Nothobranchius furzeri: one gene and its partners. The protein of the gene in region 2 binds, or shares a complex with, the protein of the main gene of each other region. Links are inferred from orthologs where the notes say so. Each region holds a gene or a part of one and is shown on either strand. Other genes may lie near its edges. The genes, in order: pigq, piga and dpm2.

The links.
Region 1: piga (region 2) and pigq share a complex: the UniProt entries of both Homo sapiens proteins name them as parts of the glycosylphosphatidylinositol-N-acetylglucosaminyltransferase (GPI-GnT) complex. The link is inferred for Nothobranchius furzeri from reciprocal best matches to the Homo sapiens genes PIGA and PIGQ.
Region 3: piga (region 2) and dpm2 share a complex: the UniProt entries of both Homo sapiens proteins name them as parts of the glycosylphosphatidylinositol-N-acetylglucosaminyltransferase (GPI-GnT) complex. The link is inferred for Nothobranchius furzeri from reciprocal best matches to the Homo sapiens genes PIGA and DPM2.

What each region holds. Positions count from the first base shown.
Region 1 is NC_091745.1:17,736,998-17,747,657, forward strand, and holds the start of pigq (phosphatidylinositol N-acetylglucosaminyltransferase subunit Q), read left to right. Parts: upstream 1-3,741; 5' UTR 3,742-3,874; intron 3,875-4,765; exon of another isoform or gene 4,766-4,893; intron 4,894-5,943; 5' UTR 5,944-5,956; coding exon 5,957-6,109; intron 6,110-6,316; coding exon 6,317-6,539; intron 6,540-7,438; coding exon 7,439-7,635; intron 7,636-7,756; coding exon 7,757-7,953; intron 7,954-8,155; coding exon 8,156-8,287; intron 8,288-8,778; coding exon 8,779-8,899; intron 8,900-10,660. Other genes in the region: protein-lysine N-methyltransferase EEF2KMT, read right to left, coding at 1-38, 1,728-1,829, 2,897-2,977, 3,054-3,104, 3,218-3,319. UniProt on the Homo sapiens protein: Part of the glycosylphosphatidylinositol-N-acetylglucosaminyltransferase (GPI-GnT) complex that catalyzes the transfer of N-acetylglucosamine from UDP-N-acetylglucosamine to phosphatidylinositol and participates in the first step of GPI biosynthesis.
Region 2 is NC_091754.1:25,451,571-25,462,207, forward strand, and holds the end of piga (phosphatidylinositol N-acetylglucosaminyltransferase subunit A), read left to right. Parts: intron 1-5,129; coding exon 5,130-5,336; intron 5,337-5,408; coding exon 5,409-5,645; 3' UTR 5,646-5,852; downstream 5,853-10,637. Other genes in the region: asb11 (ankyrin repeat and SOCS box protein 11), read left to right, coding at 7,658-7,742, 7,962-8,041, 8,136-8,243, 9,023-9,173, 9,270-9,404, 10,588-10,637. UniProt on the Homo sapiens protein: Catalytic subunit of the glycosylphosphatidylinositol-N-acetylglucosaminyltransferase (GPI-GnT) complex that catalyzes the transfer of N-acetylglucosamine from UDP-N-acetylglucosamine to phosphatidylinositol and participates in the first step of GPI biosynthesis.
Region 3 is NC_091746.1:70,776,843-70,785,946, reverse strand, and holds the end of dpm2 (dolichol phosphate-mannose biosynthesis regulatory protein), read left to right. Parts: intron 1-4,362; coding exon 4,363-4,452; intron 4,453-4,579; coding exon 4,580-4,682; intron 4,683-4,802; coding exon 4,803-4,858; 3' UTR 4,859-5,418; downstream 5,419-9,104. UniProt on the Homo sapiens protein: Regulates the biosynthesis of dolichol phosphate-mannose. Regulatory subunit of the dolichol-phosphate mannose (DPM) synthase complex; essential for the ER localization and stable expression of DPM1.

The DNA of each region.
Region 1 (10,660 bases), on a different chromosome or scaffold from region 2:
GCCACGTTTTCCAACAGACTGATGGCGTCTCCGCTGGGCTGCAGGACAGTCAACAGAACCAAAGACGGCTCGGGTTTTTCTCATTGTCTCCACAATAAAACACGAGTTTACAAGACAAACATCAGTCAGGGTCCCGGGGGGCTTTTAATGATTTATTTTACTTTAACAAAAAGGTCCACTAAATCAACAGCTTAAAATAATTACCGTATTTTCCGGACTATAAGCCGCTACTTTTTCCCCACGCTTTGAAACATGCGGCTTATAATGAGGTGCGGCTTTACTGAAGATTTTCCTTCACCTGCAGGGGACGCTTTAGCAGAAAGTGAAACAGGTGGAAGTCAAAAGTGGAAATCGAAGAAAGTGCTCATTTTAATTTAGCACATGCAAGCAGCCGGCACGATGAAGAATCTGTTTCAAATCCATACCCCCTCATCATGGTAACTACACGTATGAGTTCATATGATGCTGCATTTAAGTTGAAGGCCATCGATCTGGCAGTAAAGGAGGGAAACAGCGCTGCCGCACGTAAGCTTGGCATGAATGAATCCATGGTTCGGCGCTGCAGACGGCAGCGGGAAGAACTCATTCAAGCCAGCTTCACCCGGGGATGATGACAGCGACACGGACATCGCCACAGAAAAGGTATGTGACGAAGCTCTTCTGAGGCTGTTCAACTCCGACACTGAAGAAGAGGACTTTAATGGCTTTAGAGCGCAGGAGGAAGATGAAAGTGAATTACTTCTTCTGGTAGGCAGGTGTGTTTTATTTACTAACCAGGCATGTTTTGTGTGCAGTTTTTATTTTCTAAACATCCAGGGCTTATTAATGCTGTGTCAGCGCTGTTCTTTTCTTCTAAACATGCAAATGACCGGTAATAACGTGTCAGTGCTGTTTTTATGTTATAACCATCCAGAAATATGAATGCTATCAGCGCTGTTTTCTTTTCTAAACTTGCAGGCACATTCACCCGTGTTTAAAATTCCTTTTGTTGAATTAAAACAACAAGGAAAAACCTCCATGTAGCGTCTTTCTGTCTAATTATCTTATGTTATGGCCGTACATGCGCTGTGCGCCGGAGACCTGCATGTGGCTGCTGCGCCGCGGCTTGTGTTTGAGTGCGGCGTGTGTATGTAGACACCCTTTTTTTTTGTTGGTGCGGCTTATATTGAGGTGCGCTCTATAGTCTGGAAATTACGGTAATCTGGATAAAAGTAAATACAGAAAATAAATCCTGGAATTATGAAGTTGGTATATTCTAGATATTCTAGTCTGTAGTTTACAAGATTTATATAAGTTTTATTTTGTCTTTTCCCTGTTTTATTTTCTGCTTCTTGTCATTTTAAAATGTTTCCAGTTTTTCTGCAACACTTTGATAAAATTTTACTTTTGCTAACACGAGCTTTGAAATGTAAAATACAAAAAAATTATATCACATTTAAAACTCAGAAACACTTTTCTGAATGTAATTTAGGGCTGAACTCAGTCAAATCTCAGAAAGCTCAATGTAATTATGAGAAGAATTAATTAGATTTATTTAAGGAAATATAAGAAATCAAAAGGTGTATTCTGAACTGTTCTGTTTATTTCTCTGTCTTATGTGGTTTATTCTTGGGTGTGGCACATCTGTAACTCCACAGCTGTAAACAAACTCTTGTTTATAGCTTTTGTAAAAGTGTGAATAATTTTCTTTTCAAACAAAAAATCTGGTTTGTCTTTAGCGTCAGTACCAGGAAGTAGCTCTTGTAGCACTCCGGGGTCTCCTCGACTCCCAGCGCCTCGGCTAGAGCGTCGTACAGCTCATCCAGAGGATCACAGGCTGCAGCTTCCTGCTGCACACAAACAAAAACACAAAACTTCACTCCCGAGAGAAATAAACACCTCCAAGGCCAGCATCAGAACTAGGACCGTCTTTATTTTCCAGATTAAAAATTTTAAGATCCTAAAATTTTGAATGATTAAAAATAGAAACTGAAACTTAGGAAACTAAGTATAAATTCGATATATCATGAATTTTGGTTCTTTAATGGAAATGAATTTGTAAATAGAGTGTAATTTTTATGTTTCCTCCTAATCAAAGCTCGTAAAATATTATTTAAATATAACATTCACATCAAACGTCTATAAAACAACTTTTTTTCGGAACTGCGCTGCTCTGGGTGGCTGCATGTTAGAGTAGCTCTGTTGACTATATGTAAGGTTTGCCTTTTCTTGGGCATTTTTTCTTCTAGTTTCTCAAAAAAACTATTTTTTGGACACTTTACATTTCTGTTTCTGGTACTGCTATTTTTTTTAGCTTTTTTCACTTTTTGAGCATTTGTTATGATGCGTAACCATGGCAACAAGCTGGTTTACAATCTTTAGCAGCTGATTAACATTGGAAAAGCTGAAATAATACCTCAACTGAAGCCACAAATCCCAAATGAGCTAAAACACATGGATGCAGAGTGGGAGCAAAACGGAGACAGAGAAAGAAGAAATTCAAACCATCTCTTCCATCGATCATAATGGGCAATGTGAGATCACTGGCCAACAAGATGGAGGAACTCCAAGCCCTTTCAAGGACTCAGCCAGAGTTTCGGCAGTTTCGGAACCGCTGGAGGAGGTAATGCAAAGAAGGATTCTCCAGAGAATCAAGAAAATGATGGACAACCCTGAGCATTCTCTTCACAAGACTGTCCGACAACGGAAGAGTGTCTTCAGTCAGAGGCTTCTTCAGTTTGGCTGCAACACTGACTGCTACTGGAGATCCTTCCTGCCAACAGCCATTGTAATATACAACTCTTTGATGACTTGATTATTATTATTATTCTGAGCTACTACAGCAATCAATTTCCCTCTGAGATTAATAAAGTATTTTTGAATTGAACTATCAAAATAAAGTGATGCAGGAACCGACCCGTTTGATGAGTTCAGACAGAAACAGCCTTCTGTATCTGACTGAGGGAGGAAACCTCCTGCACAAAGGATGAAGACACGTCTGTCAAACAAATAACACATTTGTTTATTCCTTGATAATCGTGGATGTTAGGTAATAATGACTGAATACCTCTTACCTGCTTCAGAAGATCTAAAATAAACTCTGCTAACTCATCATTCTCTATCACCTGTGGTGGAGGAAACAGAACTGAGCTTTATATTTGCTACTTCACGTGAGGGAATTCCTCCTGCAGCAGCTAAACACGTCCACGCGTGATTTTGTGTGCTGTCTCATACTCACAGTCCACGGAAACGACGTTAGACGCTTCATAGCAAAAAACGACGCCCTAAATTCTATTAAAACCTCTCCGTTTTTCTCCTTTCTCTGCTCTGAAACCGCCATCTTTCACGTGTGTTTGTTTACTTCCTGCATACCCACAATGCCGTTAGTCGCAGGCATATGTCGATGGCCGCAGGTGCAGCTGGGTAATGCAGTTTAACTTTTAATTCTTTGTCTCAACCAGACCACTACATTTAAAAATAAGTCGCTGCAGCTGTATAAAAATGAGAAAGCTTTTACCTCAGAACAATATTAACACATAAATACAACAAATAGCAACAATATGGTTTAAATGAAACCTATCAATAAAATATTGAATTTCTTTAAAATAGGTTTTTAGACAATCAGCTTAAAAATTGGTAAGTTACAACCTGAAATAAAACAGGAATAATTTATTATTATTATTATTATTATTATTATTATTATTATTATTATTATTATTATTATTATTATTAGTAGTAGTAGTAGTAGTAGTAGTAGTAGTAGTAGTAGTAGTAGTAGTAGTACTGCTCTTTTATCAGCTGTGTTTTCCTCCCGCGCTTTTCTTGCTATGTCACTGCAGGGGGAGATAAATGTCTTTACAGTTAAGACTCTTGAACAGCAGCAGGACCTGAGCTGGTGAGCCACAACATTCTTTTATTTCTTTGTCTGTTGGATCCACCTCTCACTCTATTGATGTTTTGTTTTCTATCATATTTTTGATATACTGAGAGAAGATGTTAGTGTTCTGGTAATTTTCTTCTTAAACCGAATATGTGATGTATGTACCACAAAACAACACATTGACTTACTCCCAGACACGAAAACGTCGTTTGTGTCTCAAGTTCTTCATGAGCTCGTTATTTACCCGTTGATTAAAACCAAGTGAGTTGGTGTAGAGAAAAACAAAACATGCAGGTAGTGGCTCTGCAGTCCTGCAGGGAATACTTAAAATGCTCGTTTGTTGAAGTGTCAGAGAATGGCTGCAAGAGGGAGACAGCTGTCCGTCACCAAGTCAATTGTCTAATAACTTTATTACAGTGTAGAATCACTGGTGCAGTATAACATAAGACACAATACACAATTGTATAAATGTACTTCTCACTCTTTTAATTCAACACGTTTTCTAAAACACTATAATTTAACGCATCCATCAATGTTTATTTTACCAGGGGGACAAGGACAGCAAAATGTTGATTTTTTTGGCACCCTTTACAGGAGGTGCCAGATCTGTGGTGCCATTTTTATTTTTATTTATTTTTTGCCAGTGACAGTACGGTTGTCATGATTTCTGTTTATTTTAGAACGAAAATCAAACCATTTGTAAATCGAATTCTGATCACAGCACGATTCGGGTTTTTTATTTTGAAATTTTTTATTTTTTTATTATAAAATATCCAAACATCCTTGTTTATTATTAATGGTGTCTCATGAAAACACAAATAACGATTTTTACATTTAGTTTTAGTTATTTATTATTTTAATTAAAGAGCAGTTGCTAATAGGAACTTACATTCACGCGCGTTTCTGACCGAACACTTCGAGGGACGGACTGTAAACAACGTGAATGAAAGCTGTTTCAACCGATGGTTTCAACGTAGGAAACTTCACTCTTGGGTTCAGATGGAAGGTGAACGTTTGTAGTCGTGTTAGAAAAGGTAAGTATGCACCGCTCTTCTGTCTTACATTTATAATGATGTTGGACGTTCAAACAGGGCCGCGTTGAGTCGTTTGTTCGGTGTGAACCTTGTTGAATTTTCGGACTGTCGACAAAATAAACTCGCTTTTTCGTCGTATTGGGACCGATTCAATCGTTTGGGAGTGAGTTGTTTATGTTTTTATGATGTTACAATATATTTTCATTTGTATTCCTCTGCTAAATCAACAGTTAATCGCCATGCTGTTCCTAACTTGTTGGATCGAAATCATTGTCAGTGGAATCAATGACATTTCCGCTCTGGGCTCGTTGCGTTGCCATAACAACCGGGGTGGACTCGATATTTCAAGGGCAAAAAGTAGACCAGCCGGTTTCAGAGATCTCCGAACTCATTGTATAAATCGGCCAACTCAAAGTCTTTCCTCCGCCAGCTCTTTTCTGTAGACGCACGTCTGTCTCCTCAGTTCACGTTGTAATTGAATTTCATTCGGCTCAACTACATTTAGCGGTATAAAGACATAAAACACAGAGGATGAACCAAAGTCCTCAATTCTGTATTTTAATTTCAAGCAGCCAGACTTTCATAATTAGTTTTTTTGCACTTAAATTTTATTTTATTTCAAGTGAACCTAAGATCTGACTTTGAGTTGCATCACTACATCAACCTTTGTTGAGATGACCTGCTGGCCTATGATGCACTTCAGTTTTCTGGTATTGTTTCTCTACGTTTGGTTTAGTTTTGTGGTAAATCACTAACAAACAACAAAGTGTGATTTGTCCTGTTGGTGTTGCTCATCTGAGACCAAATCATTCGTCTGAATCTATAAATCTAAAATAACTTCTGTATAAAGTTTAGCAGCTGCTTTATCAAAAGCCAGGTGAGATCACATTTCTTCTCACAGTCAGATCTTAATCCTGTTGACAAAACAGTGAACTGTACTACACTATAATCTTTAAATTTCAACACACCAAACCTGAGATTTAAGTTGTAGTTTTATTGTGTAAATATTAAACGTCAAGCTGATTTTGTTTTTACTTGATGTTTCATTAGATCCACTGTAGTCATGGTGCTGAAGATCTTCTTCCCGCAATGCTGCAACCGAGCTGACAGCGGGCTGCTGGTGGGCCGCTGGATCGCTGGTCATGACTCGGCTGTGGTTCTAGCGGTCATCCACTACCCGTTCATCCCTGGACAGGTGAAGCAGTACATCCAGCAGGTTTGTGTCTCAGCAGAGCCCTTACTTTCCTTCATACGTCACTGGGGGTCCAAAACAACTGTGCTGTTCTGCATATTTAGAAAACTTTAGTACAGCAGAAAATATGTGAACTTTCAATGGTTTTATCACTAAGTGATGGTGTTCTTGTTTTTAAATTGGCAACAAATTAAATCTCTCTCAAATCTTTCCTCTCTCATCTCCTCCCAGATGCAGGCTCAGAGCGGGGTGGAGCTGTCTGTCCTTGGCTCCTGGAGTTTACCCAAAGAAGGTCAAGAGGGATTGGAGAGCTTCCTGAGGGACCTGAGCACCATCTTCCCTCAGGAACGTTGGCTCCAGATCAGTCGTCAGATGGGAAAGACAGGCTTCACCTGTGAGGTGCTCAGCCGCGATCAGAGTGAGAAACTCAACCTACTCACCTTCATTTTTTTATGTTAGTTTTCTTCTCTTCAGTTAAAAATCGAAAGAAATAAAAATGTTTCAAACGTTCTGGATTTACTTTGACTTCTCATTTGAGAATCTGAGACAACAAAATGTGAATCTGAATATTTTAATTGAAATAATTTAAATTATTCTTACCAGATAAAACCTCTTTTACTTCTACTACTATTTAGTTGACAGTTTATTTTTTCTCGTCGTCGTTGTCATCTTCCTCCGCTTATCCGGGTCCGGGTCGCGGGGGCAGCATCCCAACTAGGGAGCTCCAGACCGTCCTCTCCCCGGCCTTCTCCACCAGCTCCTCCGGCAGGACCCCAAGGTGTTCCCGGACCAGATTGGAGATGTAACCTCTCCAATGTGTCCTGGGTCGACCCGGGGGCCTCCTGCCGGCAGGACATGCCCGAAACACCTCCCCAGGGAGGCGTCCAGGAGGCATCCTGACCAGATGCCCAAACCATCTCAACCGGCTCCTTTCGAGCCCCTCCCGAAAATCCGAGCTCCTCACCCTATCTCTAAGACTGAGCCCGGCCACCCTACGGAGGAAACTCATTTCGGCCGCTTGTATTCGCGATCTCGTTCTTTCGGTCATTACCCAAAGCTCATGACCATAGGTGAGGATTGGGACGTAGATCGACCGGTAAATCGAGAGCCTGGCTTTCTGGCTCAGCTCCCTCTTCACCACGACAGATCGGCTCAGCGTCCGCATCACTGCAGACGCCGAACCACTCCACCTGTCGATCTTATTTTTTCTGTTTTTGAAATGTGTTTAAAATTTAAATGGCAAAATAATCAAGTCTGTCATTTAGACATTGTGTTTGTCTGTGTCAGCTGGGTGAATTATTATTTTTTTCTGCTTCGGTTTGATTTAAAAAGCTTCTTTTATTTTGTTACCAGCCGGAGGGTCAGCTCGGCGAAGCAACGAAGCAGAAGCAAAGAAAGAGAGCAAGGATGGAGGTGATGGGGAGGAGGAAGCTGAAGAGAAGGTGATCTTTGTTCACTATGAGCAGAGGAAGGTGATGCTGTCGCAGCTTCATCCCATAGCGAATGAAAACCCAGAGAACAAAAGTGAACCCTCGACTGAGCTGAGGGAGGTACGAGACAACGTTTCCTCACCGCTCAGAACTACCTTCATTGTTTAGAACTACAGAATGATTATCTGTTAAATAAAAAATGCTAAATCTGCATTTTTCCTTTCTTTCTCCTCCTTTGTAGATGTTTCAGACGGTGGCGCACAGTCAGCCGCTCTTCTTCCTCGACAAATACGACGACGGGCTGCTGAAGTCGACTCACTGGCAGTCTGAAGGCAGAGAGGCCAGCATCATCGTGGAGCTGATGAAACAGGCCTCAGTGCCTCTCTGCATTTTCATCAGCTGGCTGCTCTCTGTGTGGACGTGGACCTGCAACATCTGGTGAGAAGAAGTGGTGGCGGGTCCCTCAACGGTTGTTTTATTTATTCTTCTCTAGAGTTTGTCCAAAAGCAACAGAAAGTCCTTTCTGACATCTTTAGATTTTATCTGAGCAGAAATGCAAAATACGCAAATATCATCAGATCATCTCAGAAACTAACATTCATTGTTGTTTAGTCTGCATCTTTATTCTGTTTCTGTCCAGGATCTTCAGTGTTTTCCCGCTTTGCTTCCTGTCCTCTATACTGTCCACTTTTATCCAGCTCAGCTACAGGACAGAGCACATGAGGACGCTCAGTTCGCCTAAATCAGCTGAAGGTCACACCCAGTTCATGAGGTAAACCTCAGAGTCAAACTGCTCAGCAGTAGCTCAACAGGTTGAGCGGGTTGTCCAGTAATCGGAAGGTTGCAGGTTCGATCCCGGCTCCGGACAGAGAATTCTGCTGTTGTGTCCTTGGGCAAGACACTTAACCCACCTTGCCTGCTGGTGGTGGTCGGAGGGACATGTGGCGCCTGTGCTCGACAGCCTCGCCTCTGTCAGTGCGCCCCAGGGCAGCTGTGGCTACATCGTAGCTCATCACCACCAGTGTGTGAATGTGTGTGTGAATGGATGAATGATACACTGTAGTGTAAAGCGCTTTGGAGTCCTTACTCTGAGAGGCGCTATACAAGTGCGGGCCATTTATCATTTATCATCTGTCTTAGAATGAAGCAGAACAGCTGTTATGGGACAACGTAACATTTGGTCAAGTCATCACACACAGTTGATGTTTTTGGACTTCCTGTTTGCCCAGACGTGCTCTCACATCTGTGCATTTCTGTCTGAAGGAAGGCTAACATCCTAGTGTCGGTTCTGGTGGACGTGGCCCTTGGCGTGTTTCTCATGTCGTGGCTCTACAGAGACGATCACATCTCCATGCTGGCCGACGCCCTGGTTCCTGCTGCTGACGTACGTCCGAAATCTGAACCAACAGTGTTTTGTTCTTTTTATCTGCATGATTTTCACACATCAGGTTTGTTCATTAATTGCATTAGTAATTAGTACTAGCTGATGACCAGTGATGTGCAGGAAGAGTAATAGAGAATTAAAGGCCTATCAAATCACAAGATCGTGTGAACTTTTGGAACACGAGTGGAAAATAACTCTCAGCTACTAACGCATAAGATTAGCTCATTATGTGTAAAAGCTGCAGTTCTAGTTATTTATGAGTTAGATCTTATTGATTGGCTGTGACGTCCGTTTTTAATTAGGCCGACTACAAAAGCGAATCCATTGCAGATGACCACCTAATGCATCATTTCTAGGAGGAGCAGCACATGTTTTAGGTGCTGCTTTATTTCTCCTACTCAAGCAAACCACTCATTAAATGTTGACAGAAACACCCGTGAAGTAAGCAGGTGAGACCAAGCAGCACTTATTGAAATCTGATCGTGCTGCACAAACGAAGGATGGACACAGCGAGGACAGAAGTGACAGAGCAAAGTAAAACCTGTTTTTTCTTTTTGTCCTTTTAGTGAGTTGCTGATTCACTAAAATGGAACAAAGTCACTCCAGAGGAAACATGTTCAGGATTTCTAAAACAATAAACATTTTCGTATTCCCAGTCTGCACCCTCTTACTTTTACTTTTTTTACTAATGGGAAATAATGATAATTGAAAAGAAAAGAAATAAATAAACAAGTTTCTGATTTCGGTCCTGATCGATGGACTCCACTTTCTCCTCACTGTCTGATGCGATGGGCATTCCTCAAGGAAGCGGTGCACCGTTTAAGAGGATTTTGATTGAGAGTTTTTAATCTGAATGTATCTGCAGCAGGATTCTAAAGCATCTGACAATGTGTTTGTAAAACTCATCACTTTAAGAGACGATGGATTAGATTAGATGGATGTTAATCATCTATAAATGGTGCAGAAGTCTGTTCTTGAGGGCTGAAGCCTAATTGTCATTTATTCACATCCCTTTGGTAAATTTGGGCCAGAGTTAAATCAAAATACTGCATGTACACACACACACCCTTCCTCATTTTGGTAGTGGGTGTAAACACATAAATACTCCAGGTGGCTCTTCTTCTGCCTCATCAGGAATAAACCCAGTGATGAATCATTTGCAGCAGACCAGATTACTGTAATTTCCGGACTATAGAGCGCACCTCAATATAAGCCGCACCAACAATAAAAACGGTTTTCTACACACACACGCTGCACTCAAACACAAGCTACGGCGCAGCAGCCGCAGGTCTCCAGCGCACAGCGCATGTACGGCCATAACATGAGATAATTAGACAGAAAGACGCTACACGGAGGTTTTTCGTTGTTTTAATTCAACAAAAGGAATTTTAAACACGGGTGAACGTGCCTGCAAGTTTAGAAAAGAAAACAGCGCTGATAGCATTCATATTTCTGGATGGTTATACAATAAAAACAGAGCTGACACGTTATTACCGGTCATTTGCATGTTTAGAAGAAAAGAACAGCGCTGACACAGCATTAATAAGCCCTGGATGATTAGAAAATAAAAACTGCACACAAAACATGCCTGGTTAGTAAATAAAACACACCTGCCTACCAGAAGAAGTCATTCGCTCTCATCTTCCTCCTGCGCTCTAAAGCCATTAAAGTCCTCTTCTTCAGTGTCGGAGTTGAACAGCCTCAGAAGAGCTTCGTCACATACCTTTTCTGTGGCGATGTCCGTGTCGCTGTCATCATCCC
Region 2 (10,637 bases):
TGTTTGCTTATCTTTTTAACCCTTGGAGGTTCCTTAAAAAAAGCTACACTGGGGACCCTCGCACAACAAAAGGCATTTTAGCAAAATGTATAAAAAATATAATTTCAAAATTCAAAAAAAAAATTTCACTGATTCTATCCTTAGCTTCAGTCCTCAACAAACATAGTAAAATAATTGAGAGTTTTTGAGATTTAACTCCTTTAGTGCCATATTTTGTCAAAAAAATCAACTGTATAAAAAACAATAATTTTTTGTGTGTTATGTCCACATCACTTCTTCTGGGGCTGAATTGTGAGGGCTTTGGAGAGTCGCAAATGAGCAAAAAATATTTTTTGTTTTCTCTGTTTTTTCTGTGTAGTGTCAGATATTCAGCAAAACTCACATTCAGGTCCCTCGCACAGAAAAATGCATTTTAGCTAAATGTGTAATAAAAATTATAAAATGTTTCAAAAGTCAAAAATCTTTTACACAGATTATTTTCTTAGCTTCAGTCCTCGCAAAACATAATAAAATATTTGAGTGTTTTTGAGATTTAACTCCTTTAGTGCCATATTTTGTCCATCCATCCATCCATCCATCCATCCATCCATTTTCATCCGCTTATCCGGAGTCGGGTCGCAGGGGCAGTAGCCTAAGGCAAGAGGCCCAGACTTCCCTTTCCCCAGCCACTTGGGCCAGCTCCTCCTGGGGAATCCCAAGGCGTTCCCTGGCCAGGTGAGAGACATAGTCCCTCCACCGTGTCCTGGATCTACCTTTAGGTCTCCTCCCGGTTGGACGTGCCCTGAAAACCTCACGAGGGAGGTGTCCAGGAGGCATCCTGACCAGATGCCCGAGCCACCTCAACTGGCTCGTCTCGATGTGGAGGAGCAGCGGGTCTACTCTTGATGCAAAGGAGCAGCAGATCTACTCCGAGCCCCTACCAAATGACCGAGCTTCTCACCCTGTCTCTAAGGGAGAGCCCAGCCACTCTTCGGAAAAAACTCATTTCGGCCACTTGTATCCGCGATCTCGTTCTTTTGGTCACTACCCAAAGCTCATGACCATAGGTGAGGGTAAGAACGTAGATCAACCGGTAAATCGAGAGCTTCGCCTTCTGACTCAGCTCTCTCTTCACCACGACAGACCGGTACAACGCCCGCATCACTGCAGATGCAGCATCAATCCGCCTATCGATCTCACGTTCCAGTGTTCCCTCACTCGTGAACAAGACCCCAAGATACTTAAACTCCTCCACTTGGGGCAGGACCTCATCCCTGACCCAGAGAAGGCATTCTACCCTTTTCTGAATCAAGACCCTGGTCTCAGATTTAGAGGAGCTGATTCTCATCCCAGCTGCTTCACACTCGGCAGCGAACCGCTCCAGTGAAAGCTGAAGATCACGTTCTGATGAAGCCAACAGGACCACATCATCTGCAAAAAGCAGAGACCTGATCCTCAGGCCACCAAAACGCATGCCCTCCACACCTTGGCTGCACCTAGGAATCCTGTCCATAAAGGTTCTGAACAGAATCTGTGACAAAGGACAGCCTTGGCGGAGTCCAACTCTCACTGGGAACGAGCCTGACTTACTGCCGGCAATGCGGGCCAAGCTCTGACACCGGTCATACAGGGACCTAACAGCCCGTATCAGAGGGCCTGGTACCCCATACTCCCGGAGTACCCCCCACAGGGCCCCCTGAGGGACGCGGTCAAATGCCTTCTCCAAATCCACAAAACACATGTAGACTGGTTGGGCAAATTCCCACGCACCCTCCATGATCCCCCTAAGGGTATAGAGACTCCTCCTGAGTCTGAGGTTCAACAATCCGACGGACCCTCCTCTCCAGAACCCCTGAATAGACCTTACTAGGAAGGCTCAGGAGTGTGATCCCCCTGTAGTTGGAACACGCCCTGCGGTCCCTCTTTTTAAGTAAGGGGGCCACCACCCCAGTCTGCCAGTCCAGTGGGACTGCCCCCGATGTCCATGCGATATCGCGCCAGCCAACAGCCCCACAACATCGCTCACCAAGGAACTCCGGGTGGATCTCATCCACCCCCGGAGCCTTGCCACAGAGGAGCTTTTTAACCACCTCAGTGACCTCAGCACCAGAGATTTGAGAGGCCAACCCAAAGTCCCCAGACTCTGCTTCCTCACTGGAAGACGTGTCGGTGGGATTGAGGAGGCCTTCCAAGTATTCTGCCCACCGATCCACAACGTCCTGAGTAGAGGTCAGCAGCACACCATCCCCACTATAGATAGTGTTGGTAGCGCACTGCTTTCCCCCCCGAGGCGCCGGATGGTGGACCAGAATCTCCTCGAAGCCGTACGGAAGTCTTGCTCCATGGTTTCACCGAACTCCTCCCATGCCTGGGTTTTTGCCTTGGTGACCACCCGAGCTGCGTTTTACTTGGACTGCCGGTACCCATCAGCTGCCTCTGGAGTCCCACAGGCCAGAAAGACCTGATAAGACTCTTTCTTCAGCTTGACAGCATCCCTAACCGCCGGTGTCCACCAGCGGGTTCGGGGGTTGCCACCACGACAGGCACTGACGATCCTGCGACCACAGCTGTGGTCGGCTGCCTCAACAATGGAGGCACGGAACAGGGTCCATTCAGACTCAATGCCCCCCGTCTCCCCCGGAACATTTTGGAAGTTCTGTCGGAGGTGGGAATTGAAGCTCCTTCTGACAGGAGACTCTGCCAGACGTTCCCAGCAGACCCTCGCGATATACATTTGGGCCTGCCTGGTCTGACCGGCATCCTCTCCCACCATCTGAGCCAACTCACTACCAGGTAGTGATCAGTTGACAGCTCCGCCCCTCTCTTCACCCGAGTGTCCAAGACATGCGGCCGCAGGTCAGATGAAACAACAACAAAGCCGATCATCGAGCTGCGGTCTAAGGTATCCAGGTGCCAAGAGCACATAGGGACACCTTTATGTCTGAACATGGTGTTCATTATGGACAATCCATGACTGGCACAGAAGTCCAAAAACAAAACACCCCTCGAATTCAGATCAGGGGGCCGTTCCTCCCAACCACACTTCTCCAGGTCTCACTGTTGTTGCCCACGTGAGCCTTAAAGTCCCCCAGCAGAACGAGGGAGTCACCGGAAGGAGCGCTTTCCAGCACCCCCTCCAAGGACTCCAAAATGGGTGTGTAGTCTGAACTGTAGTTTGGTGCATAAGCACAGACCACAGTCAGAACCCGTCCCCCCACACGTAGGCAGAGGGAGGCTACCCTCTCATTCACCGGGTTAAACCCCAACGTACAGGCACCACGATGGGGGGCAACTAGTATGTCCATCCCTGCTCGGCACCTCTCAGTGGGAGCAACTCCAGAGTGGTAGAAAGTCCAACCCCTCTCAAGGAAACTGGTTCCAGAGCCAGAGCCAGAGTCATGTGTTGAGGTGAGTCAGACTATATCTAGTCGGAACCTCTCAGCCTCACACACCAACTCAGGCTCCTTCCCCACCAGAGAGGTGACATTCCATGTGCCAAGAGCCAGCTTCTATAGCCGAGGATCAGACTGCCAAGGTCCCCTCCCTTGACTACCACCCGTCACACACTGCACCCGACCCCTTTGGCCCCTCCCACGAGTGGTGAGCCCATGGGAAGGGGGACCCACGTTTCCTCTTTGGGCTGTGCCCGGTCAGGTTCCATGGGTGAAAGCCCGGCCACCAGGCGCTCGCCAGCGTGCCCCACCTCCAGGCCTGGCTCCAGAGGGGGGCCCCAGTGACCCACGTCCGGGCGAGGGAACACGGTTTCCATTTATATAATTCATCATAAGAGGTCTTCGGGCTGCTCTTTGTCTGATCCATCACCTAGGACCTGTTTGCCATGGGTGACACCAGAGGCAGAAAGCCTCAGACAACTTAGCTCCTAGGATCATTGAGACACTCAAACCCCTCCACCACGGTAAGGTGGCAGCCCAGGGAGAGGGCCATATTTTGTCAAAAAACCTAAATCATTTCTCGTGTGTTATGTCCAGAGGACTTCTTTAGGGGGTGAATTGTGAGGGCTCTAGAGAGTCACAAATGAGCAAAAAAATATTTTTTGTTTTATCTGTCTCTTTTGTATGGTGTCAGATATTCAGAAAAACTCACATCCAGGTCCCTCACACAGAAAAAAGCTCCAACCTCCACCACCCACCAAAGCATGAAAAAATCTTTCCTCTGGTCATTTGTCGATTGCATTGAGTCATAAGTGCATGTATGTAAGTGTGCAGAATCACACAGAAAAAGCACATATACATCTGTTGTGTAGGATTTTGCACTGATATTAGACTTTGGGTGAGAACTGATTTTTCTAATGAAAACTGAAAAAAACACAGTCACATAAATTATGAAAACACATTTTATTTTTAGTAAACGTACCCAAAAACACACTCCGGAGCAAAATAAAAATAAAAAGAATTTCATCAACACAGCCAAAGTTATTCAAAAATACATGACTGCCTGCGCAACAAAATGCACGAGGGACCTCTAAGGGTTAAGGTAAATTCTTGCAAGGTATCAGATAGCTTGTTTGGCCCCCACGCAGTGTTTTCTCACTGATTCATGGAAAGTGTCTGCTCCTGTTTCCAGTTGGTTGAGCTTACACACAAGCAAAAGTTTGATCTCTTTTACATCTCTTACTTAGGTTTTACTTTCTGTGTAACAATAAACTAATCAGACCTAAATCTTTCATACAATTCATGATAATTGTGTAACTTTATCGTTAACAGATATAAACTAGTAGCAAACTAAATCTAGTCACATGTGAAAGTGTAAAGAAGTGAAACAACCTCATTAGTAAAATATTTCTTTGGTATGCATTCCAAGTAGGAAGCAGCTGGTTTTTGAGTCTTTGATTTGTCGTGTATCAGGATCACTAACTGATGCCTTTTGAACACTTTTCTGTAGGGTGCTTCTTTTCTGTCCGCTTTCACACATTCGTTTAAGTCTGCATCTTTTTTTAATAGAAAGGATTTTATTTTCAGAAACACTCCATATCTTTGGAATAGTGATGCTGAATTTAAAAATCTTCATTGTTTTATCTAAAACAAACAGATTCAGACTGATCTTTAGCTGTAGTGGAATAATTCTGATTTGCCTTATTAGAATGTTGGTTTTATCAACTCTGAGCAGCTCTTTTCCATCCTCCCTGGAAGGTTGTCAGCACTCGCGTCGGTGGCATTCCTGAGGTGTTGCCTGATGACTTAATAACCCTGTGTGAACCTACTGTGCGGTCGCTGTGTGATGGTTTGGAACAAGTCATCGCTAAGCAACGATCCGATTCTTTCCCCTCACCGGCTTCAATCCACAATCGTGTTAGAAACCTCTACACTTGGAAAAATGTCGCAGAGAGGACAGAAAAGGTACCAGAGGATGACTTGAATGATAGGATATCTGGTGTAGGTAATGACATCATCATATGTTTTTCCTCCCAGGTGTATGATAAAGTAGTTGGAGAAGAGGTCCTCCCTCTGGCCAAGAGGTTGCGGAGACTCCGGTCTCACTGTGGCCCCGTGGCTGGATCCATCTTTGCCTTTGTTGCCATGCTGGACTTCCTCTTCCTGCTGCTTCTGCAGTGGTTGTTGCCAGATCGGTTCATGGACGTGGCTGTTGATGCCACCGGCCCTCATGGACTGTGGAGACAGAAAACAAGCAGGAAAAAGTTTGACTGATTCCAAACTTGCCACAAAACGAGAAAACCCATCTCTCCTTCGGCCATCAGACTGTTTAAATGCTGTCTGTACTCGATCAAATGCTCAACGTTTACATTTTTCTAAACAAAGGGAACTTTGTGTGGAGGCTCTTCTCGGTAGTTAATAAGCACTTTTTATTTTTTCTTACACTCCCTGCTGCTCTGAACTAAAGCAGTGAAAACACTGGTTACAATAAAGCAGCAGCATCTGCTCTTAATCACGTCTAATAAAATAACAGTTGGTTTGATAAATTATTTGTTAGAGCACACGTTTATATTTATTTTTGGAAAGCTCTTGATTTTCCTGTCAGTCTATGTTCCAACCCTCACATATGGTCACAAGCTTTGAGTGGTGACCGAAAGAACGAGATCGCGGATACAAGCGGCAGAAATTAGATTTCTCCGCTGGGTGGCTGGGCTCTCCCACAAGCCCTTTTTACAAGGCGCACAGTTCTGGCATGGCGATGCGCAAATTTTGCAGCATTCCTTCCATCTCCTTGGTAGTAATATTGCTGTAATTGTCTGTCTTATTGCACCTTAGCGGCAAATTGACGGCATTGCTTTGTAAAAACCAACTGAGAGAAAGAGTGAGAAGCTTGGTCATCCAGGAGGGGCTCGGAGTAGAGCCGCTGCTCCTCCACGTTGAGAAGAGCCAGTTGTGGTGGCCCGGGCATCTGGTTAGGATACCTCCTGGACGCCTCCCTGATGAGGTTTTCCAGGTATGTCCCATCGGGAGGAGACCTAAAAGAAGACCCAGGACACGCTGGAGGGACTATGTCTCTCAGCTGGCCAGGGAACACCTTGGGATTCCCCCAGAAGAGCTGGCCCAAGTGGCTGGGGAGAGGAGAGGGAAGTCTGGGCCTCTGCTTAGGCTGCCGCCCCCACGACTCAACTCCAAATAAGTGGAAGAGAATGGATGGATGGATTTTTTAATTCAACCTTGAAGGTTTTTTTTTTCTTTCTTTTTTTGCAGATGATGATGAGTCTGCAGCCATCTGCGATGGATTCTAACGTTTGCTAAAAATAATTTGAAAATATGTTAACTGATTTTTTTAAAACACATGAATAGTTTCTAAAATTGTGGATTTAAGCAGCTTTTCTGATATTGTTTTCCAAAAATATCTAATATTTTTACATCTGTTTTTTTTCTTTCACAGAATTGTCCTCAAAAATCAACATCTCATTGAAAAAAAATTGTTCTCTTTTTCTTCTAAATCCCAAAGGGAAACAAAATTGTTTTTCAGAACTGAAAACAAATCTCTAATATTTGAAGGAGAAAAAAGATTCCTGAACTTAATCCCAAATTTTGTCTTTTTTTCCTCATAATTCTCAAGTTATTTTTATAAATCTGAAGGAAAAAACATTTCACTGGTCGTCTTCTTCCATGAATATTTTTAAATATTTGTAAAATTTTGTTTTGCAACAGGCCCTGTAACAGTTGTGGCTCTAAAGTTTTATTTTGTGTCTGAGGGGAGAACCTCCTGGCCTAGATCTGTAAAATAAAGCAGATGTTTAAATCTATATAAAACATTCACCTCTTTATTCATGTTTCAAAGGAATATTCTTCATTGGAAAACAAACAGAAACCATTTGTTCCTGGGAATTTGTTTTTTGGGAAAGCTCCAAAGTAGCTGTTAAACAGGAAGTAGTAAGTTCACACATGGCGGAAAACCTTGTTTTCTTGTTTACATTTGAGTAAAACTAAGAAAGAATAAAACATTTTGCATGTGATGGTTTTGGGCTTTTTACAGCTATTACCATAGCTTTATTATAACGTGCATGAAGCTTGATGCAGCTGTTTACTCACCCAATCCTGCAGCCCTGCAGTTCCCTCACATTTTTTAAATGTTTTGTCTGAAAGGTGATCAGGAACATTCCAGCTGCTATTGTGATGCAGATGCAGAAGGGGGGAGGTAATGTGGGGGTGTTGACCGAGGACTCTGATAAGAGTCTGTTTTCAGTTTGTGAGCCTAGTCTGCCTCCATTTCCATCATGGCTGCAGGTCAAACGCAAGTCTCCAAGAGATCACAGCCGTTTTACATCTACGGGGGTCTGCCGTGTAACTCTCTGATGGCCGGTGAGTTTCGTTTTTGTAGTTTTGGATATGAGAGAAATGAGGAGTCAGCTGGATTAGATTAGACTGCATTGCTATTCAAATTTGGCCAGCTTTGCGGTCCAACTAAAACATGGGTGTGTTGCGGTTCATCAAGAAATAAAAACATCCACTAAAACAAGAAGAACAATGATCTACTTTTCATTTCCAGTGAAGTCAATGTTTTTGTTTCTCTTGTCTCAGATTCGTGGTCAGACAGAACCCCCCTCCACGAATCAGCCTGTCAGGGCAGACTCCTGCACATCAAGACTCTCATCACTCAGGTGATCAGAATAAACATACTTCATGAGATTTATATCCGTCACACACGTTTTAGAATGAAAACCAGACAGATTTTATCCTCCATATTGCCTCCAGGGCCTCCATGTGGACACACTCACCATAGACAGAGTCTCTCCTCTGCATGAAGCCTGCCTCGGCGGTCATTATGCTTGTGCCAAGTTGCTGCTGGACAATGGTGCAAATGTGAGAACACACTATTAGTAAAATGTACAATGGGGTCTGATTTTGAGGCGTCCATGTTGAGAAATATCAGGCTAGAGATTAGAGTTCTTCTGAAGTTTGTCCTTTTTTAGGTTTTAGTGTGAAAATAGAGTTTAACATATAGTTTTATGGTATTTGTATTACTTTATTTGAGCTTGTATTATTTATTTAGGCAAGGCAGCTTTATTTATATAGCACGTTTCATACACATTGATTATGCTGCCTCGCTGCCACCTAGGATTGACTGAATAGTGTTTGTTGTTAGCCTCAAGGGCAACCTGCTGGCTGGATTTTCACCTGTAAGTCACTTCGTACAAAAGCGCCTGCTAAATAAATAAGCATAAAAATAGGCAATTCAATGTGCTTAGAATGAGTTTTGTGCTTCTACATTGCAAAAGCAGATTTTTAAGAAAGTAAAGTTTTGATTTTAGTCATTTCATCTTATTTTTCTTTATTGCTGTTTTTTGCAGATAAGACGTTTTTTTTCTAGACCAAAAAAAAGATGAAATGTCTAAATACAAGCCCTTTTTACTGTCTTGAAAATCGTTTTTTGCAGTGCAGGAAACTTTTATTTATGAAGTTACAGCAGAAAGTGCTTGAATGACCCCTGATTAGAACAAATTTACATGTTTTACCCATCATAAAAAGCACATTTCTGCTGAAATTCAAAAGCCCAAACTTTGCAGAATTTAAACATCCGGGTTTTTTTTTTGTTTTGTTTTGGTTTTTATAAAAGTCACATGTTTATAAAACTCCTGCAGGCACAGGCAGTTTCAGCAGATGGCGCCACACCTCTCTTTAACTCCTGCAGAAGTGGAAGTGCTGCATGTGTCAGACTCCTCTCACAGCACGGAGCATCCTCCCTCACCACCAGCCAGCTGGCTTCACCCATCCATGAGGCTGCATCTAAAGGTGCATGTGTGTTAAAATGCTGCAGTTTAAAGGCTACAGCACAGGCTTGTTGATGTGTGCGTGCATGCACATGCATGTGTGTGTGTGTGATAACAGATCACAGAGAGTGTCTGGAGCTGCTGCTGTCCCATGGGGCTTCGATTGATGTGGAGCTGCCAGAGGTGGGGTCACCGCTGTACTGCGCCTGTAAGGCGGGGTCGACAGCGAGTGTGGAGCTGCTGCTACGATCAGGTAACAATCTGGACACTCACAGCAAATATAATGAAATCATGAGGATTTAAGAGGATTGATGAGTTATTTTAAAATAAAACGTCGTTGTCGTCTTCCTCCGCTTATCTGGGTCCGGGTTGCGGGGGCAGCATCCCAACTAGGGAGCTCCAGACCGTCCTCTCCCCGGCCACCTCTACCAGCTCCTCCGGCAGAACCCCAAGGCGTTCCCGGACCAGATTGGAGATGTAACCTCTCCAACGTGTCCTGGGTCGACCCGGGGGCCTCCTGCCAGCAGGACATGCCCGAAACACCTCCCCAGGGAGGCGTCCAGGAGGCATCCTGACCAGAAGCCCAAGCCACCTCAACTGGCTCCTTTCGATCCGGAGGAGCAGCGGTTCTACTCCGAGTCCCTCCCGAATGTCCGAGCTCCTCACCCTATCTCTAAGGCTGAGCCCGGCCACCCTACGGAGGAAACTCATTTCGGCCTCTTGTATCCGCGATCTCGTTCTTTCGGTCATTACCCAAAGCTCATGACCATAGGTGAGGATTGGGACGTAGATCGACCGGTAAATCGAGAGCCTGGCTTTCTGGCTCAGCTCCCTCTTCACCACAACAGATCGGTTCAGCGTCCGTATCACTGCAGATGCTGAACCGATCCGCCTGTCGATCTCCCGATCCTTCCTACCCTCACTCGTGAACAAGACCCCGAGATACTTAAACTCCTCCATTTGAGGTAGGACCTCTCCCCCGACCCGGAGTTGGCAAGCCGTAACAAATAAATCATTTCAGCATCAGAATAAAAGGAGTACACTAAGCATTGAGAAATCTCCACCTGATGAAACATACCAGAGTTTCATTCATGCAGAAAGTCATTTGCAGCTGCAGCTTTTATTCCTGAGTGATTTGCTGTCTAGTCTTTCTTGGCCCCCCACTTTCTCTTTCCATGGTAACAGACGCTGTGCTTCACACCTCACAGCAGCACATGCATTTTACAGCTTTTCTTGTCCGTCTCATTTGTAGAACTGTCAAATGTGGCAGCTAATTATTTACTACTAATCATAGCTGTAATTTTCCATCTCTTAATTTTTTTCATTAGTCGCTGAATTTAGTTTTCTAGCCAGAGACGAATGGAGGGAGAGGATGTGGCGGGTTTTGGTCATTTGGGCTCACATCACTTGGTGCTGGGGTTTATTTTCTTATTTAGGTGCTGATGTTTCTGTTGGATGCGGACGGGACAGTCCTTTACACGCTGCG
Region 3 (9,104 bases), on a different chromosome or scaffold from region 2:
AGGATAGACCAACTGGGACTGACCAGGCCCATAACAAAAGCCGAAAAACAATTCTTAACTTCATGAAGGAACTTCAGTTGATTGACATCTGGAGACAGTTAAAACCTGACGATATAATTTTTTCCTGCCATTCAAAAACATTTAATACATATTCCAGAATAGATTATTTTTTAGTATCAGCAAGCCTACTATCAAACATAAGGACATGCTCATATGACAGTATATTACTATCGGACCATGCTCCCTGCAATATCATATATACACATAAAAACTTAATAATGGAGCGTAGATGGTGTTTACACCAGAAATGGCTGAATGATGAAGAATTCCTCACTTTTGTAGAAAAAGAAATAGATGAATATTTTACTATAAATGGTTCACAAACATCAGCTAGTATTAGGTGGGAGGCATTTAAGGCATGTTTACGGGGAGTTATAATTGCATATACTTCATCGAAATCTAAAGAAACATGTAAAACAAGACAGCAAATGGAAAAGGAAATTAAAACTCTAGAGGAACTAGTATTCAAAAGTAGAGACCCAGTAACAGAGAAAAAATTGCTAATACTAAAAGCACAATACAATAAAGAATCGGCAGATAGAGCGGCTTCGAACATTTTGAGATTAAATCAGTCTTTTTATGAACAAGGAGAAAAACCTGGAAAAATATTGGCATGGCAAATTAAACAATTGGAAGTGCAGAAAAATATAACATCGATTGTAAGCAGCAAAGGGGAAATGATAATAGACCCGATGGAAATAAATAAGGCGTTTAGAAACTATTATGAAAAACTTTATGAATCTCAGGATAGATCAGATCAAACCTCCAGAAATGCGTTTCTGGATAAAATAAATATTCCTACTATTGCAGATGACTTAAAACAACAATTAGATGCAGAAATCACCGAAGGGGAAATAAGCAGGGCAATTAACAGTATGAGTTCAGGTAAAAAAGCGGGACCAGATGGATTTCCAATTGATTTTTATAAAAAATTTAAAAGTAAATTAGTGAAACCATTATTGGAAATGTATCAGGAATCATTACACAAAGGAAGTCTTCCTAAATCAGTAACGGGTTCGCAAATCATTTTGCTACCTAAGCCGGGAAAGCCGAGTAATAAATGTGAAAATTTGAGGCCGATAAGTTTACTCAATTCCGATATTAAGGTGTTAGGTAAAATATTAGCTACACGTTTGCAAGGTACTCTCCCCTCAGTAATTCATAGAGATCAAAATGGCTTTATATTGGGACGCCAAGGTCTGCATAACGTAAGAAGAGTCTTTAACATTATAGACGGAATAAACAATTCGTCAGAGAGCGCCTTACTCTCGCTGGATGCCGAAAAAGCATTCGATAGGGTCGAGTGGCCCTATCTTTTTGATGTTCTGACTAGATTTGGGTATGGAGATGTGTTTCGAAGATGGATACAATTATTACATTCAAATCCAACTGCTGAAATCTTGACAAACAAAAATGTCTCTGAACCAATAAGGGTGAAACGGGGATGTCCACAAGGCTCACCGATAAGTCCATTGTTGTTTGTATTAGCTATAGAACCCTTTGCTATAGCCGTACGTTCGAGTTTATCGGTGACAGGAATTATGGTGAATGAAGTAGAACATAGGATCTCGTTGTACGCTGATGATGTAATAGTATATCTCTCAAAAATAAAGGAATCAATACCTGCTCTGCTTAGATTGATAGGGGAGTTTGGTCAAATATCAGGATATGTCATTAATAAATCTAAATCATCCGTTATGTTGCTAAATGAGGAAGAAAGGGACAACCCACCCACAGTAACATCCCATTTTAAGACAGTAAGGGACTTTATGTATTTAGGGATACGGATTTCGTCTAAACTAAGTGAGATTGTGGAAAATAATTATGAAAGACTTTCTAAAGAAATAACAGAGATAGTGGACAGATGCATATCTCTACCAATTTCTTTAATGGGTCGGATTAATATATACAAAATGAGTATACTGCCAAAGGTGCTTTATGTGTATCAGAACATCCCCTTGCCGCCTCCTGTGGATTGGTTTAGCAGGATCAAAAAGCTTGTTCTCGGTTTTTTATGGCAAAATGGGAGACCAAGGATAAGATTGTCATTGTTACATCTACCATACAATGAGGGTGGTGTCATGTGTCCAAATATTGAGTGGTACTACTGGGCATGTCAAATAAGGTCTATAAGATACTATTTTGACTTAAATAACGCCCCGCAATGGTCAGAGATGGAAAGTATGAATTTGCATCCAACATTACCATTATATTTTTTCTCAGACACAGCAGTAAACTTGATTAGAAAGGCAAAAAACCCAATGGTGAAGAACATGGTCAAAGTATTGTATGGTGTAAAAAGATATATGAATGAACCTGTTGTATTGTCACAGTTTACACCAATGTGGGGAAATCAGAATTTCAGACCAGGAAGAGAAGATACAGTTTTTAAACAATGGTCAATTAAAGGACTTCAAAAAATCTAAGATTTATATCCAACAGACTCTCAAGAAATGATGTCCTTTGATATGCTTAGACATAAATATAATATTGATAGAAAGCAATTTTTCAAATATCTCCAAATTAGAAGTTACATTCGAGCAAATCAAAATAATACCTGCACCAAACCACCAAAATCAGAACTGGAAGAAATAATAAGTAAAAGCAGTTTGAAACAAGGGGCAATATCAGAAATATATAAATTACTTAGGTCCAAAACATCTGAAAATTCGTTAGGAAGATTGAACGCCTGGAAAAATGATTTAAAAAAGGACATAACCAGGGATCAATGGGAATTGGTTTGTACAAAAGCTCATAAACAAACAATCAATTCTAGACTAAGGTTGTTGCAATACAAATGGTTGATGCGAATATATGTTACTCCCGAAAAGTTGAATAAGTATAACCCTAATATACCAGACATTTGTAATAAATGCAATGAAGGGAAAGGTGATTTTTGGCATTGCATTTGGGGTTGCAGGAAGATAGGATCCTTTTGGATTGCAGTAACACAAACTATGAAACAAATACTATCCAAAGAGGTTGTTTTGGATCCCTGCTTTCTTATTTTGGGATTGTATCCTGAAAACATGAGGTACACAAAAAGCGACAGAATGTTTATTGATATGGGTCTGTTACAAGCAAAAAGATTAATTGCTTTAAAATGGAAAAGAACAAGGGAGCCGAGTATCACACAGTGGATAAAACAAATGATGGTGGTTTTGCCAATGGAGCGGATAACATGTATACTGAAAAAGAAATTGGATGTTTTTGAGAAGGTATGGAGACCGTTTGTGAACTTTGTAGAAGGATTTGTATTAGCTGAGGAGGATGAGGACTGAGGACAATGACATTTGTTTTGAGATAATGTCAAATTTAGGCCTTTAACGGAGTGATAAATCGACTGTTTTTTTTCTTTCTTTTCTTTTAGATGTCTGAGAGGAGAATATGTTCATGTAGTGTTTAGTGTGTTGGAATGTTTGCTAGTTGCTAAAATGTAACAAAAAAAAAAAAAAGATATTGTTGGAAAAAAAAATCATTTATTAATCCAAATGCGTGTAAAAGAAATGCGTTTGTAATCCTAACCCTAATCCGCGAGCAGGTGACAGAAGTAGGCTCAGAATAAAAACATCACCAGTGCTGCAGGAGTCATCGTGAGCCGAGCCGGTATCGGCCCTTCAAACTAGAATCGGTGCAGCCCTTATTTGTTTTATTTGTTTGGGGTTATGGTTTACCAAAATAAATGTCATATCTGTGATTTATTGTATTTACAACAACGGAAGTGACACATCAGAGCTTTCTGGTTAATTTGTTTACATTTTCATAACAAACAAAATCAAGAATCAGCAGATTTGAACTAAAGTCTTGTGTTCAAAGTTTGAATGGAGTTTTTAAATGAACGGCATCAGAAACATGATTAAATAAGACATTAGGCCAAACCAAGAAATGCACCAGTCCTTCAGTAGTTTATTTTGGGTGATTACACTTTTTTTCTATTTAAAATATATTTATTATATATTAATAGATAATATATTTATAGATATAAACTACATAAATAAATGATATAAAATTAAAAAATAAAATAATACTTAAAAGAATAAACTTTGAGTCATTCCCAGAACCACCGTACCGATGCCGGATCCTGCAGCTTTTTATAAGACTGTATTTAATTCACACACACACACACACACACACACACACACACACACACACACACACACACACACACACACACACACACACACACACACACACACACACACACACACGCGCGCACACAAACACCTCACTGTTTATCTCTGATTCTTCCTGTTGATGATCAGGAAGCTGGATCTTGATCCCAGGCTGCATTTGTGCTTCCAGGCGTCGGGAGCAGATCAGGCGGTCGGGATGAGTCTCGTTGTTTTCAGCCTCCTGTTGTTCTCCTACTACACTGTTTGGGTCATCGTTCTGGTGGGTTCTGTTGGGTGTTTGCAGCTAACATTTCTCTAAATGAAACATCTTCCATGTCCTCATCTTGAGTTCTGTATCTGATCATGTGACTTGAGCTTCATTAGGTCACCTTTGTGTTACTTTCCAGCCTTTTGTAGACTCGGATCACCCCCTGCACAGATGTTTCCTTCCTCGGGAATATTCTGTGATCCTACCAGGTGTTGCTGCAGTAATCTTTGTCCTCTTTGTTGGTCAGTATCTTCACTCATAAACTTCTTCATTAAAACATTCTGTTTATTTTCTGTCGCATGAATATGGGATGTTGATGTTTTCCGTGGATGAGAGGAGATGACTCTGTGCTTCCTCTGCAGGAGCCTTCACTACCTTCATCATGTGGAAGGACCACAAACCAAAGAAAGTGGCCTAAGGAGGATTGAACCCCTTAAAGGTTATTCCTGCTGGCGGCGACACCAGAACCACCAGCTCATACTTTTGTTCTGCACAATAGACTTTTTCCTGCAGTTATAAACAACATGTTCTTCTGCAAAGAAGAGAAATGTCCCTTTGATGCCCTTCCGCTTCAGACGTCATTTATAGCGCGTTGGCGCCACCTAGTGGCCCAGCTCGTACTACACGATGGAGAAAACGTTCTGCAGATTCAGACTTGGTTCTATTCAGGTCTCAGAGGACTTCACTAGAACCAGACCGGTTCTATAAGATCACACCTGCTGCAGCAGAGAACCAGAGGTCACATGTCTAGATGATGTCAACATTCACCTGATTTAACCAGATTTTATTTGAATGTTTAGAAAGAGTAAATGTTTAAATGGAGCCTGTTTGAATCCGTTTCACATCCAGATGTGTTCACTCAAAGCAGACCGACTGACATCTGAGTGCTGAAATCCAGCTGTTCTGGTGTTTTACTGCAGCTGGAGTTCCCGGATGATCGTTTTTCTAAAATAAAACTAAAATGTTTTCTGCTTTGGATCTGCGCTCGTTTCTAACTCACAGACATGATGATGATAGAAAAGAGTTCAGAACCCGGAACCAGGATCTCCTCCAGGCCTGGGCCTGATCTGGACCTGCACCAGGCTCAGCCTCAGCTTGACCAATCAGTGCCTGTGTGGGGGGGTGGGGGGTGTAGAAGCTTCCGGAGCCTCCAGCTGGACCAAACTGTTGTCAGCTATTCATCGTTCTGCACCATCACTGCATGACGTTGCAGAACCGGTTCCTGCAAGTGGTTCGGTCCGTTTCGGTGGTTCGGTCCGTGCGTGTCACCGGGTGGGACCCGGTCCGTGGTGCGACCAGGCTCCGCGCGGACATGTGAGTCAGAGACCCGAACCCACCGAGCCGGCTCCGAGCTGCGGTCCGTTCTGAGGTGAGTTCTGGTGATGATGATGATGATGAAGATCTGCGGCTCGCCTCTTTGATCTGGAGTAAACTTTATTTAGTTTCAACAGAATCAGGTTTATTACCAGAACATCCATCAGAGGCTCAGGAGTTCACTAGAATGGATGGGTTGCTGGTTCGAACCCAGGCGCCGTTATATCAGCCGTTGTGTCCTTGGGCAGGACCTGTACCTCCCTGCTGTGGTGGTCAGGGGGGCCGGAGTGAGTGAGCCAGAAGGTCGTCCACACTGAGGCTGTGGGGCACTGACACTATACGCGCAGGCAAGGAGGGGGTTTGAACCAGCAACCCTCGAGCAGCGTAAACTCCCCGAGCCACGTCACCACCTCACCCATTCATCCAGTTTTAATGTTATGAGCTTATTGACACATAAGTCTTAATGGTCGCTCACCTGAACTCACGTGCAGGATGGGATGCGTGCAGTAAACTAACCAGACCCGGAACCCAGAGGTGGTGATGGTGGTACTGGTTCCATCCCTGACTCTGTGATATTGGACCGCGTAAATCTGCTGAACTGTGTCACTAGCGCTGCGCCGCGGTCCGCTGAGCTTTCATCCCTTTGTGTCGGTCTCCATGGTGACCAGGTTCTGTGTTTTGTTTAGCTCTCGGGCCTCTCTCACTCTTTGATTTCTTTAGTCGGAGCTGTGAACGACAGACCGGGTCAGCTGACCCGTTCCTGTTCTGTTGGAGTCCAAATGGAGGGATCCGGCGCTCCCAGGACTTCTCACCGCCGCCGCTCCGTTAAGAGGATGAGATGGGGGGGTCTGAGGCAGCAGTGGAAACTTCTGGGTCTGTTTGAGATCGACCAGAACCACGAGTTCTACAGCCTGACCTGCATGATGAAGGAGGGTCTATTTGCAGCCATCCAGAATACCATCAGCCTCCCCACGGTGAGTACCCTACCAGCAGATCCCGGATCCATCAAAACACGGGTCAGACCCATCTGATCACCATGGCAACGGGCTGTACCGATCCACTCTGCTGGTTCTGACTGAGAGCTGGTTTCAAAGGTTCTGCTGGTCACTGAGGTGGAGGGTGATGATGCTGTGTTCTGGTCTGGTCCAGGTGGTTCTGTTCCACACAGAGACACCCACCCCATACAGCGCTCTTCACCTCATGGAGCAGTGTGGATCAGCATACCTGTCAAAGGTGTCGTTTTAACTAAGACATGCCATCAGGTGGAGATGGAGAGTGGAGCTGGTGGGTGGAGCCAGAGCGTTGGAGCCAGAGGGTGGGGCTGGAGGGTGGAGATGATGGATGGAGGTGGTGGGTGGAGCCAGAGGGTGGAGATGACGGGTGGAGCTGGAAGGTGGAGCTGGTGGGTGGAGCCAGAGGGTGGAAATGAGAGATGGAGGGTGGAGCCAGAGGGTGGAGATGATAAGTAGAGATGGAGGGTGGAGATGATTTGTAGAGATGGAGGGTGGAGATGATGGGTGGAGCCAGAGGGTGAAATGAGAGATGGAGGGTGGAGCCAGAGGGTGGAGATGATGAGTAGAGATGGAGGGTGGAGATGATTTGTAGAGATGGAGGGTGGAGATGATGGGTGGAGCCAGAGGGTGGAGATGGTGGAGATGATGGGTAGAGATGGAGGGTGGAGCCAGAGGGTGGAGCTGGAGGGTGGAGATGATGGGTAGAGATGGAGGGTGCAGCCAGAGGGTGGAGATGATGGGTAGAGATGGAGGGTGGAGCCAGAGGGTGGAGCTGGAGGGTGGAGATGATGGGTGGAGCCAGAGGGTGGAGATGGTGGGCGGTGATGATGGGTAGAGATGGAGGGTGGAGATGATGGGTGGAGATGAAGGGTGGAGATGATGGGTAGAGCTGGAGGGTGGAGATGATGGGTAGAGATGGAGGGTGGAGCCAGAGGGTGGAGATGATGGGTGGAGATGGTGGGTGGAGATGATGGATAGGGATGGAGGGTGGAGATGATGGGTGGAGCCAGAGGGTGGAGATGATGGGTAGAGATGGAGGGTGGAGATGAAGGGTGGAGCTGGAGGGTGGAGATGATGGGTAGAGATGGAGGGTGGAGTCAGAGGGTGGAGATGATGGGTAGAGATGGAGGGTGGAGCCAGAGGGTGGAGATGATGTGTAGAGATGGAGGGTGGAGATGATGGGTGGAGCCAGAGGGTGAAGATGATGGGTAGAGATGGAGGGTGGAGTCAGAGGGTGGAGATGATGGGTAGAGATGGAGGGTGGAGCCAGAGGGTGGATATGGAGGGTGGAGCTGGAGGGTGGAGATGATGGGTAGAGATGGAGGGTGGAGCCAGAGGGTGGAGATGATGGGTAGAGATGGAGGGTGGAGATGGTGGGTGGAGCTGGGCCGTTTCTCAGTATGCATAGTTGTCTGTACCAAGCCCCCACAATGCGGGTGAAAAATTGAAGCAAACCCGGAAATGAAATAAATTGCAGTTCCACCCTCATCCACTAGGGGCTGGTGTCAGAAGCGAGCAAATCCTCATTGACTCCCATGTTAAAAATACCAATTTCACAGCAGAAATAAACATGTTTACAGCCTGGTACCAAAACATGTTTTAGGTTTAAATGATCTAGTTTACACTCATGACAACTCTGAGGGGGGTGAATTTTTTTCTCACTCTTCTGTTTAGGTGTATTAAAAGCCTAAAATTCTGTATAATTAATGAGCATCAGACCCACGTGACCGCAGAGCTAGCTCCGGGGAAAGGCCTCAGTAGAGCCTCGGTCTGGCCTGGAAACTGTTCTGGGATTTAGAGTCTCCGTGTTTGTGTATTCTGTTTTTGGATATTTTTTGTGCAATTGTTGGACAAAATGACTTGCTGTGGCATTAATTGCACTAATAGCGCGTCCAAGGAGTCTCCACTTAATTTTTTTCGGTAAGTAAAATTATATTTATGTATTTTAGGTCACTGCCGAGCTGAGCTTAGATTTTAACATGTACTGTTTAACCATGAAATTTAAATGTAATAGGGTAAAACCCAGTGCATTTAACATAATGCTGCACTTTAGAAAATGGGTTGAAATATAACATGTTGGTGGAGCTGGGTTCCGACTATCGTCTTGTGGAGGTCTCGGGAGACCTCTGTGTTCCACCTGGTTTTACCCAGCGGTCAGCCCGGCGTATCTCTGACTCAGAAGCTCTGGTGTTGTGCACAGTTAACTCCGGTTGTAGCTAGGATGCTACCTCCGTTAGCTTAGCTCCCACCTCCGCGTTAGCTTTGGGTTCGCTTCAGGTTAGCTTGTAGCTAGTTTGACCGGGTGTCGTCAGTTGATCCCAGCCTTACAGCCCCACC